3 linked regions of the Saccharomyces cerevisiae S288C genome follow. The protein of the gene in region 1 purifies or fractionates together with the protein of each later gene. This does not show direct contact. Each region holds a gene or a part of one and is shown in the gene's direction. Other genes may lie near its edges.

What was found. The genes of interacting proteins can lie anywhere in the genome.
Region 2: the proteins of SPT5 (region 1) and PSY4 purify together in Saccharomyces cerevisiae (affinity purification with mass spectrometry; 5 studies listed by BioGRID). This does not show direct contact.
Region 3: the proteins of SPT5 (region 1) and RPB4 purify together in Saccharomyces cerevisiae (affinity purification with mass spectrometry; 5 studies listed by BioGRID, with this or other methods). This does not show direct contact.

What each region holds. Positions count from the first base shown.
Region 1 is NC_001145.3:246,138-251,368, forward strand, and holds SPT5 (transcription elongation factor SPT5), read left to right. Parts: upstream 1-1,539; coding exon 1,540-4,731; downstream 4,732-5,231. Other genes in the region: ERV25 (Erv25p), read left to right, coding at 1-614; RAD33 (Rad33p), read right to left, coding at 758-1,291; mitochondrial 54S ribosomal protein bL33m MRPL39, read right to left, coding at 5,167-5,231. UniProt on the Saccharomyces cerevisiae protein: The SPT4-SPT5 complex mediates both activation and inhibition of transcription elongation, and plays a role in pre-mRNA processing.
Region 2 is NC_001134.8:130,678-134,338, forward strand, and holds PSY4 (Psy4p), read left to right. Parts: upstream 1-1,746; coding exon 1,747-3,072; downstream 3,073-3,661. Other genes in the region: EDE1 (Ede1p), read right to left, coding at 1-1,363; ubiquinol--cytochrome-c reductase subunit COR1, read right to left, coding at 3,466-3,661. UniProt on the Saccharomyces cerevisiae protein: Regulatory subunit of the histone H2A phosphatase complex, which dephosphorylates H2AS128ph (gamma-H2A) that has been displaced from sites of DNA lesions in the double-stranded DNA break repair process.
Region 3 is NC_001142.9:149,414-152,215, forward strand, and holds RPB4 (DNA-directed RNA polymerase II subunit RPB4), read left to right. Parts: upstream 1-1,547; coding exon 1,548-2,213; downstream 2,214-2,802. Other genes in the region: serine/threonine protein kinase YAK1, read right to left, coding at 1-977; mannosyltransferase YUR1, read right to left, coding at 2,300-2,802. UniProt on the Saccharomyces cerevisiae protein: DNA-dependent RNA polymerase catalyzes the transcription of DNA into RNA using the four ribonucleoside triphosphates as substrates. Component of RNA polymerase II which synthesizes mRNA precursors and many functional non-coding RNAs.

The sequences.
Region 1 (5,231 bases):
TGACAACTTTGATCTCTTTGGTGGTGGCAGTGCAGGGATTACATTTCGACATTGCAGCATCTACAGATCCAGAACAGGTTTGTATTCGTGATTTTGTCACTGAAGGTCAATTGGTTGTCGCGGATATTCACTCAGATGGTTCTGTTGGTGATGGACAGAAACTAAACCTCTTCGTGCGTGATTCAGTTGGAAACGAGTATCGTAGAAAGAGGGACTTTGCAGGCGACGTTCGTGTTGCGTTTACTGCTCCATCCTCCACGGCATTCGACGTTTGTTTTGAAAATCAGGCTCAGTATCGTGGCCGTTCTTTAAGCAGGGCCATTGAATTGGACATTGAGAGTGGTGCTGAAGCTCGTGACTGGAACAAGATCAGTGCCAACGAAAAATTGAAACCTATAGAAGTGGAGTTGCGTAGAGTGGAGGAAATTACCGACGAAATTGTCGACGAATTGACTTACTTGAAAAACAGAGAGGAGAGATTAAGAGACACCAATGAATCTACCAACAGAAGGGTAAGAAATTTCTCAATTTTGGTTATTATTGTCTTGTCCTCGCTGGGTGTTTGGCAAGTCAACTATTTGAAGAACTACTTCAAAACGAAACATATCATTTAAGCAAAGGAAGAGGACCACACCATGCATTTGTGTATCAGCTTACCCTATAATTGCATATGTACTCGACTATTTTCTACATATATATGAATAGATTCCAGAACCGAATAAAGGAGAAAAAATATTTGAATATGGATTTGTTCGCTTCACATCTTTAAGTAACCTAGTTTTCCCAATACGCAACCAAAGTCCAAGTATGTCATGAAAAGCCTCTTGCCATCAGTAGCACAACTAATCATTTCAATGGTCCCAGAACTTTGGTCAGCCCCGATGAGATTGGAGATTTTTTGAAGGTCTTTTACGCTTAATACATGATCTCTTAAGGCCACTTGCGGGAAATCCACGTCTCTGCCACAGTTTCTAATAAGCATCGACCATAAATCATCTATTACTGTTAAATTATTCATCAGTATCAGTAACTGGCATGTGCATCGTACCAGTTTCGTGAAATCTATTACGTCAGTTCCTTCTATAATGACGTCTTCATTTCTCACCAGTTTCCAAATTGTGGGCTCTAGTTGCAAATCCTTGAAGAACCTTGGTAGTTCATTAACGGTCATATCATGGTCCAGACTGGATTCCGCATATTTTTCCAGAATTTCATCTTCAACTTCGATAGGTACTTTCGGGTTCTCGAATAGCTCTACTCTTTCATAACTAACGTTAGTGGATTTGCTCATTGAAAAAAAACTCGGAAGGTATTTAGGTGACCTTGCGGCTTCTTAATGCTGACACCTGCATGCGTAATTGTTATTATATATATATATGATAGTATATTTCATACTTGTTCCTTCTAAAGGTGACCCGCCTGATATGCGACATAGAAAAAAATTTGGATGAACATGTTCAAAGATTGGTAGCATTGACAAGAACCATTCATACAAGTAGGTAACAGCAGAAGGAAAGAGGAACGGGTGTTGTGATAATTATGAGTGACAACTCGGACACAAACGTGAGCATGCAGGACCATGATCAACAATTTGCTGATCCCGTAGTGGTTCCGCAGTCAACTGACACTAAAGATGAAAATACTAGTGACAAAGATACTGTTGATAGTGGCAATGTGACCACAACGGAAAGTACAGAACGTGCAGAAAGTACAAGCAATATTCCCCCTTTAGATGGGGAAGAAAAAGAAGCAAAATCTGAGCCACAGCAACCTGAGGATAATGCAGAAACGGCGGCCACAGAGCAGGTTTCATCTAGTAACGGGCCTGCTACAGATGATGCCCAAGCAACTTTGAATACGGATTCATCCGAAGCAAATGAAATTGTCAAGAAGGAAGAGGGCTCTGATGAAAGGAAGAGACCTCGCGAAGAGGACACCAAAAACAGTGATGGTGATACCAAAGATGAGGGCGATAACAAAGATGAAGACGATGATGAAGACGACGATGACGATGATGATGATGAGGACGATGACGATGAAGCCCCAACTAAAAGGCGTCGTCAGGAGAGGAACAGATTCTTGGATATTGAAGCTGAGGTTAGTGATGATGAAGATGAAGATGAAGATGAAGAGGATTCAGAGTTGGTTCGTGAAGGTTTCATTACCCATGGTGATGATGAAGATGACGAAGCAAGTGCTCCAGGCGCAAGAAGAGACGATAGATTACATAGACAACTGGACCAAGATTTGAACAAGACTTCAGAAGAAGACGCTCAAAGGTTAGCGAAAGAATTAAGGGAGCGTTACGGTAGAAGCAGCTCCAAGCAATACCGTGCTGCTGCTCAAGATGGTTACGTGCCCCAGAGGTTTCTCCTACCAAGTGTTGATACAGCTACCATTTGGGGTGTGCGCTGCAGACCAGGTAAAGAAAAGGAATTGATTCGTAAGTTATTAAAAAAAAAATTCAATTTGGATAGGGCGATGGGTAAGAAAAAACTGAAAATTTTATCCATTTTCCAAAGGGATAATTACACAGGAAGAATCTATATCGAAGCCCCTAAGCAATCCGTTATTGAAAAATTTTGTAATGGTGTTCCAGATATTTATATTTCTCAAAAATTGCTAATTCCTGTCCAAGAATTACCTCTATTACTAAAACCAAACAAATCTGATGATGTTGCTTTGGAAGAAGGTAGCTACGTTCGTATTAAGAGAGGGATCTATAAGGGTGACTTAGCTATGGTCGACCAAATTAGTGAGAATAATTTAGAAGTTATGCTGAAAATTGTTCCTCGTCTGGATTATGGTAAATTCGACGAAATTGATCCAACAACACAGCAACGTAAATCCAGAAGACCAACTTTTGCTCATAGAGCACCACCGCAATTATTTAATCCAACAATGGCTCTAAGATTAGACCAAGCTAACCTGTACAAAAGGGATGATCGCCACTTTACTTATAAGAATGAAGATTATATCGATGGTTATCTGTATAAGTCCTTCAGAATTCAACATGTGGAAACCAAAAATATTCAGCCAACTGTGGAGGAATTGGCAAGATTCGGTTCCAAAGAGGGCGCGGTAGATCTAACATCAGTTTCACAATCAATCAAGAAGGCTCAAGCTGCAAAGGTCACTTTCCAGCCAGGTGATCGTATCGAAGTTCTAAATGGTGAACAACGTGGTTCCAAGGGTATTGTAACAAGAACCACGAAAGATATTGCTACTATCAAACTAAATGGCTTTACAACGCCTCTAGAATTTCCTATCTCTACTCTGAGGAAAATTTTCGAACCTGGTGATCACGTTACTGTCATCAATGGTGAACATCAAGGTGATGCTGGTTTAGTTCTTATGGTAGAGCAAGGTCAAGTGACATTTATGTCAACTCAAACAAGCAGAGAAGTTACCATTACAGCAAATAATCTGTCCAAATCCATCGACACTACAGCTACATCAAGTGAATATGCGCTACATGACATAGTCGAATTGAGTGCTAAAAATGTTGCTTGTATTATTCAAGCTGGCCACGATATCTTCAAGGTTATTGATGAAACTGGTAAAGTGTCGACAATTACGAAGGGGTCTATCTTGAGTAAAATAAATACTGCTCGTGCACGCGTTTCTAGTGTCGATGCAAATGGTAATGAAATCAAAATTGGTGATACCATAGTAGAGAAAGTAGGTTCACGCAGAGAAGGTCAGGTCCTGTACATACAAACACAACAAATTTTTGTTGTTTCAAAGAAGATTGTTGAAAATGCAGGGGTTTTTGTTGTTAACCCTAGTAACGTTGAGGCCGTGGCATCCAAGGACAATATGTTAAGTAACAAAATGGATCTAAGTAAAATGAATCCAGAAATCATTTCTAAAATGGGACCTCCATCATCTAAGACATTCCAACAACCCATCCAGTCCAGAGGAGGTCGTGAAGTTGCACTCGGCAAAACAGTAAGAATTCGTTCTGCTGGTTACAAGGGTCAATTAGGTATTGTGAAAGATGTGAATGGTGATAAAGCTACTGTCGAATTACACTCGAAGAACAAACACATTACAATTGACAAGCATAAGTTAACATATTACAACCGTGAGGGAGGTGAAGGTATCACGTATGATGAATTGGTTAATAGACGTGGTAGAGTTCCACAGGCCAGAATGGGCCCAAGTTACGTCAGTGCCCCAAGAAACATGGCCACTGGCGGTATTGCAGCAGGTGCTGCGGCTACCTCTTCTGGTCTTAGCGGTGGTATGACACCAGGATGGAGCTCCTTCGATGGTGGCAAAACACCAGCTGTAAATGCGCATGGAGGCTCAGGTGGTGGCGGTGTCTCCTCATGGGGTGGTGCTTCCACTTGGGGTGGCCAAGGTAATGGAGGTGCATCCGCTTGGGGCGGTGCTGGCGGCGGTGCCTCAGCTTGGGGCGGCCAAGGTACTGGTGCTACTTCTACTTGGGGTGGTGCTTCAGCCTGGGGTAACAAATCAAGTTGGGGCGGTGCATCCACTTGGGCGTCGGGTGGTGAATCTAATGGTGCCATGTCTACTTGGGGTGGTACCGGTGATAGGTCAGCCTACGGCGGGGCTTCCACCTGGGGAGGAAATAACAATAATAAAAGTACAAGAGATGGCGGAGCTTCTGCATGGGGTAACCAAGACGATGGAAATAGGTCTGCTTGGAACAACCAAGGAAATAAGTCAAACTATGGTGGTAACAGTACATGGGGAGGTCATTAATCACCAAAAGGAGAACCAATATCACCCAAGAAGAAATCAATAAAAAAGACTTTAATATTACCACGTTAATAAGAATAGTTATGAAGATTTCGATGTTTCGATGAAATACTGAATCTCGATCTTTTTTTTTCATTTATGCTTGCATTTGTATGTCACGAGTTTTCCTTGATTCTAACTTTTACATATACGTATGTATGTATGTATGCATATGTGTTTTTGCATATCTAAATGAAATATCAACTTTATTATGAGGGAGTTGATTATTGTAATGTAATTTTATATAACTTCTTTTTCGTTAGCGGAATTTCTTTCCGTTTGAATCGTATACAAAATGTATGTATCCATTACTTATTTACAGGATAAATGAAAAAAAATGCGTAACGTCTGCGTATTCGATGGGCTTACATGCCGGGGCTCGTGCTTATTCATATTTCTTCACTTGGCTGTACGCAAGAAATCCAATGGCTTTCTTTCTGCCACTTTCCTTTTCTTTGCTTCTT
Region 2 (3,661 bases), on another chromosome or scaffold:
AAAAACTATTATTTGTGTTGTTTTGAACCACAGTTTGTGCTTTAGTGGGAGAAGGAGAGCTGAATGAAGGGTTCAAAGCCAGTAAATCATTCAAAGAACCGTTATTTGAGTTTTGAGGAAGAACTTGTGGAACTGTTGGTTGAGTATTAACTGCTGGGGCAGAAACTTGGTGTGGCATATCCTGTAAAGAAGGCTTACTTGCTCTTGAGGGGATGGCAATTTGAGGTGCACTTTGTTGTTGAGGAAGTGGGTTTGGCGGATAAAGTCCTAAAGCGGGGGACTGTAATAATTCATTGGGGATAACATCCGGTAATTCGACACCAGCATTCTTTTTTTGAATTAAGAACATGGCAATAGCAAATTCCAATTTGGTGAATTCAGCATTGTTGTGGATGTCAGCTAAGTCCCAGATGGTGGCTAACGTCTCTTGGTTTAATCTAGAGGATAAGAAGAATGGAACCAACACAGCAGAGCTTAGCGAACCAGCATGTTGCTTATCTAATGAATCAAAAATTGCATCAAACTGTTGTTTTTTTTCAAAACTTAAAGACCAATCTGAAGCAGCATTACTGAATGCACCAGTAGATAGACGTGATATAGTAGAGTGTCTTGTTAGTGAAGATACGCCAGTGGAGTTAGCACTCAAAGGAGTAGTCCTGTTTGGTTGATTAACAACAACAGGTTCTAAACGAATAGAATCCCACAGCTGAGTAGGCAACACGGCCGGTGGTGTGTTCATACTAGGATGATGAGACATACATAGTTGGATCAAATACATGGCCATTATAAACTCAGATTTGTCTAAGACACCGGATGCGTCTCTATCACAAAGAGCCCAAATTTCACCTAAAGTTTGATTTGGTAATCTTGCCTTTAAAAATATATCCTTGGCTTTATCACCAGCAACAGTTTGAGCACCCTTTGCTGTCCTATCAAACAGTTGTGAAAATTTAGCAATATCATTTGAGGATAAGGCAGGAATATCAGTGTTGTTTGTATTGCCGGTTGCACTACCGCTTTGCATAGGGGCTGGGTTCTGATTTATAGAAAAAGAAGCCAGTTGAGTAGGTGTGCTCTCATATAGGGCAGCGGAAATTGGTTGGTTGGGAGCATTTTGCAATTGAGCGATCATTCTCAAAGCAGCCGAAAACTCGTTCAAGTTCAAAAACCCTTTATTGTCTATATCGACGGTAGCCCACACTTGCGATAGTAATTGCCCTGGAAGACCAGAAGACGCGAAGAGCGGTCTGACTGCCTCGCCAGTGACCACCCCGAGATCTTCCGTATCCAATTGGTGAAATTTCTGATTATAAAAGGCTTGTTCCTGAGAGGATAATGGAGTTCTAAAAGTAATAGATGCCATGGCCTATATCGTTCGAATCCTATTGAAAACACACAGATAAAAACAGGAAAAAAGATAGATCTAGAGCTTCACGAATCTATTTATTAGTTTCAACGCGCTATATTATTTCGCGAGAACCAGTAATTCTCTATTTAAAAGCACTCTATTGCCTATCACAAAGTGCTCTGTTGTGTGTTGTTTTCAATGTGCTTCTGAAAAGGGGTTTGTAATAGTTGAAGATTTTGATTATAGGAGAAATCTAATCCCCCTCCGAAGCGCCGACGGGTAATGATTGTGTAGTTTTTCATTTCGCGATCAAAAGCATGTATTTTGACACAGCTAACAATACCTATTATCATTTTTTGTTGGTGTTCTCATCGATTGTCAAAGCACAATAAAAAGCTATGAGCTCGACGATGTTGGATGATGTGGATAATAATATGATGGGTATCAAGTCTATCAGCCTTTATGAATTACTTAGCGATGTGGTGAAACAGGGCGACAAGACGCGATTGGTGACGGCGGGTCCCGAGCAAGTTTTGCCTGATTTAATCCGGCATATCACTGAAACAATACCGTTTGACCTATTTATAAACCTTAAGAATGAAATGAACGATGCGAGAAATCTCGTTACTAGATTAAATTGGCTGGGTAAGTTTCTGAATGATAATTTTTTACAAAATCATACATTTCCATTCACAATACTTCGGATATGCGAATTGTGTTATGATCCTTTCAAATATTACAAGATCAATGAATTGGAGAAGTTTGTAAATGCGCTAGAAAAATGTTGCATGGTAACTAGCAGTTGGCAGGTTTTTGATAAAACACACGGTGAGAAGCAAGAGGACGATAAGGAGAAAGATATTAACTTCATCAAGAATCAAGAAGATGTCTCACTAATGAAGATACCGTGGATGACCGAAAACAATACTAGGGAGTTGGCACCCTTTATTAGAGAAATCGACTCTATAATGAGTGTCAACCTAGGCTACGATGACGAGGATGAAGAGGAAGGATTTTTTGATGGTGATGAAGATAGGGAGATGGGGAATAAGAGTAAGCGTAATGTTTTGCTGAAAGATGAAAATTTCATGGTGGAAGAATACTATGAGGATGATTGCGGGATAAACGATGATAATAGCGATAATAAAGGACAAAATTGTCAGAGCGATGTTACGAAGAATAATAGCGATGATGAAGATGACGATGACAACGACGACGATTATCGTGAAGATGGTGCAGATGAAGATGATGAGGATGATGATCACATGGGCAGCACAGATGACGATGAAGATGATGACGAAGATAGGCAGGCGGGCGAAAGTACCAAGGTGCAAAATTTTGACAAGAAAAATGAAACTCCAAGGAAGAGGAAGCCCACAGATTTAGATAACTTTGAATATGACGAATCACCATCATTCACAAACATGGATCTCACGACGCCAAAGAAATATAAACATACCGCAACGGGCAGGTTCTCCATAATAGAGTCGCCATCGTCTTCGCTCCTCAATGCCATGGACGGCAGTAATGAGATCTCATCGAGCCAGGAGGAGGAGAAAGAGGATGCTCATGAAAACCATGAGGGTAGAAGTGAAGGACTGTTACCAGGTGACGAATTAGTGAGTCCATCGATGAGCTCTTCACAAGAGGATAAGATGGTTGCGATTGCTGGTATTACCTACCGTGAGAATATTAGCAGTCCATTAGGCAAGAAGTCCAGATGATCGAGAGATGACTTCTCTACCAACAACTTCCCATTTGCATAATATCATTAAATATGTTTTACCAAAAAAAAGTTCATCTTTCTTATTTTTAAAATCGATAGTTCTTCAGGATCTTGGTCACATATATATATATATATATATATACACTTATATAAAATAAGACGTTTATTTAATCTTGTTTTCTTACGAGTTTCTTTTTTTTTCTTTTTTTATTTTCTACTTTTGCAAGGAACAGTGACCTTGCCAATAAATAATGAAGACTACTTGGGTTACTAGAATATAAAATACATGTAAAAAATTCATTTATGGTGTGAGTGTGCGAGCGTGCCTGTATACATCTAGCAGCTTGCTTATTTCTATTTTATGTGCATGGAAAATATATTATCACACATCTTACCATCTCATCATGGACATGTCACTTCTGATTCTCATGTAATCTAATAACCCTTCAATTTGGCCTGTACCAGCAATAGCAATATCTTGGTCCCATAATCTCTTACCGGCCCAAGCCTTAACATCTTTGACTGTGATTGCATCAATTTTCTTGAAAGCCTCACCCAGAGACAGTTTGGAGCCCTTGATTAGGACT
Region 3 (2,802 bases), on another chromosome or scaffold:
GTTTGGTAGGTAAATTCTGGAGAACATAAAGAATATGTGGTAATCAGGCTTTTCGTGACACTGACTAGGGGAGATATCGTCTTGGAATTGAGCGACGCACGTCTAAACTTTGGAGTAGCATTTAAGACAGGTTGAAGATCGTTTTTAGAGTTGCAAAGTTGCATCTGAGGAATGGACAATTTCTGACCTTGTACTTCATCTCTTCGTAACTGCTTGAAAGGGGGTTGTAGTGGGGGACTTGTACTAGGAGGATATGCGCTAAGCCTCCTGTAAGGTGACATGACTGGTATGGAGTTTGTTCCTTGATTAGTATTTGAATTTAGGGAAGAAAAATTGGACGAATAATTAGTTGCAGCCAGACTCTGCCTTCTTTGGAAATCTTGACGATCATAAAGGGAGGGAACAAATCTGGATCCAAATTGGGAAGGATGGATAGCGCCCTGCTGGTATACTTGCTGTTGTTGTTGTTGATAGCCAGAAGGATACTGGCCACTGCTATTTCCTGCCAAACTCGTATTAGAGCTGGTGTAAGCGGGATAACTATCGTACTGGAAAGGATTTGGGGCAGGTGCCCTGGCTGGAGGTACAACGAGACTAGATTTACGTCGTCTGTACGCATCTAGACTTTCGTTACTGTTTAAGTCATCGTATTGAGGGGGATACACCAGGTTTTGTTGAGAATTAGTTACTTTTTCCTCATTCCAAGGGTTAACAAAGCAAAATTGAGAATTCTGTTGTTGTTGTTGTTGCTGCTGCTGCTGCTGCTGGTGATGATTCTGATGCTGCTGCTGTGGAGACCTTTGAGAGCCTTGATTTACGTACGATGGATTCCATATACCTCTCCCCATATGGCTATTGTCTGGGCTTGCTCTACCCGAGCCCATACTAGCATCACTGTGGGTCACAAGGGTCGGGCTCAAGGAGTTATTCATGTTGCTATTGGAGCTGGACGAGTCGTTATTATTGGATGAGTTCATGATTGCTCAAATTAGCATGTGAAAAAAAGATAACGAAATTATGTTCCCTTGCACAATGGCTGTTGCTCTTCACCAAAATTCTTCTTTCGATATATTCCCAAATCTAATAGTGAGAAATTTGTGTAATACCCCCAGTAATGGCCCACCAATTGTTTCCTTATATCTGTTTAGCATTGCGACTCATTCATTGTTCAGCCCAGAAGGGGTAAATCTGAGGAGGGGGCATTGCTTGCAATGGTTCAGAAGGGGCGGTTAGGGTTAATAAAGCCATCGCGCTATTTTGATATTTTTATTAGGCCTTTTATATTTTTTTTAGTTTTTTTCTCCAAATCCTAAATCCTTTTTAGGTGTCATTTACGTGCAACGCGACAATAGTGATATTGTCATTCTTCAAACTTTTTGCAAGGTAGCTATTAAACATACCTACACACATACGTACATGCTTAACGGTGAGACAAAAGTAAAGAAAGAGACTTGAATGGGTTGCTGCATCTTAATAAGTTGAGTTTGAGGGCGAAAGTACACAAATATTCATCCGTATTGAAAATATATATATAAGAATATAGAAAAATGAATGTTTCTACATCAACCTTTCAAACAAGACGGAGAAGATTGAAGAAAGTGGAGGAAGAAGAAAATGCAGCTACTCTACAACTGGGCCAGGAATTCCAGCTGAAACAGATAAATCATCAGGGTGAAGAGGAGGAATTGATTGCCTTGAACCTAAGTGAAGCCAGGTTAGTAATCAAAGAAGCTCTTGTAGAACGTAGGAGAGCATTTAAAAGATCGCAAAAAAAACACAAGAAGAAGCATTTGAAGCACGAAAACGCCAATGATGAAACTACGGCAGTAGAGGATGAAGATGATGATCTGGATGAAGATGACGTCAACGCTGATGATGATGATTTTATGCATTCTGAAACTAGGGAGAAGGAGTTGGAGTCTATCGACGTTCTGTTAGAACAGACAACGGGAGGAAATAATAAAGATTTGAAAAATACCATGCAGTATTTAACAAATTTCTCCCGATTTAGAGACCAAGAAACCGTCGGGGCAGTTATACAGCTTCTGAAAAGCACTGGGTTACATCCTTTTGAAGTGGCGCAACTAGGTTCTTTGGCCTGTGACACAGCTGATGAAGCAAAGACTTTAATTCCAAGCTTAAACAATAAAATATCAGACGATGAGTTGGAAAGGATACTAAAGGAATTGTCAAACCTAGAAACACTCTATTAATAACTGTATGTATACGTGTGTGTAACTAGTAATGAATTTTCACCCTGTGGAAGTTAGGCCTATTTAACAGGAAAAAGGACAGGATTTTAAATCTCGTCTTGCTCTTCTTTTAAGAAATATTTGCCGCTACCGTTTTTCCACCATCTCATCAAACAACTATGTGGGGTTATATCTATGACACTTTCATCATCGCTTTTGCATCTACACCTCTGATCGAGCCTAACAGCGTAAGATGCTGGACAGGTGCCAAACGGTGAGTGAAAATAGCCAAGTTCGTCAAAATGAATGATTTCGTCAGGTCTCAGCAGTAGGGAGACACCAATTGAATGTACAGGTGCGTCACCCCACCTTTCGTAGTAAAATCCGCCCTTGGCATCTAAAGTTTCAAAAAAATGCTTATATTCGTCACTTCTGAAGAAATTCAAGTCGCCAATCTCAAAATTCGACCAAAAATGGCACAAATTGTAGTCAGAGTTTGCTTCAACAACGGGATAATGCTTACCAACTAGCCCTGAATCGGTCAAAAATGCATAGGCACTGTCCTCTTTACGTAAAATGGTCTCTTCGCTGGCCACTAAATACTCCTCTA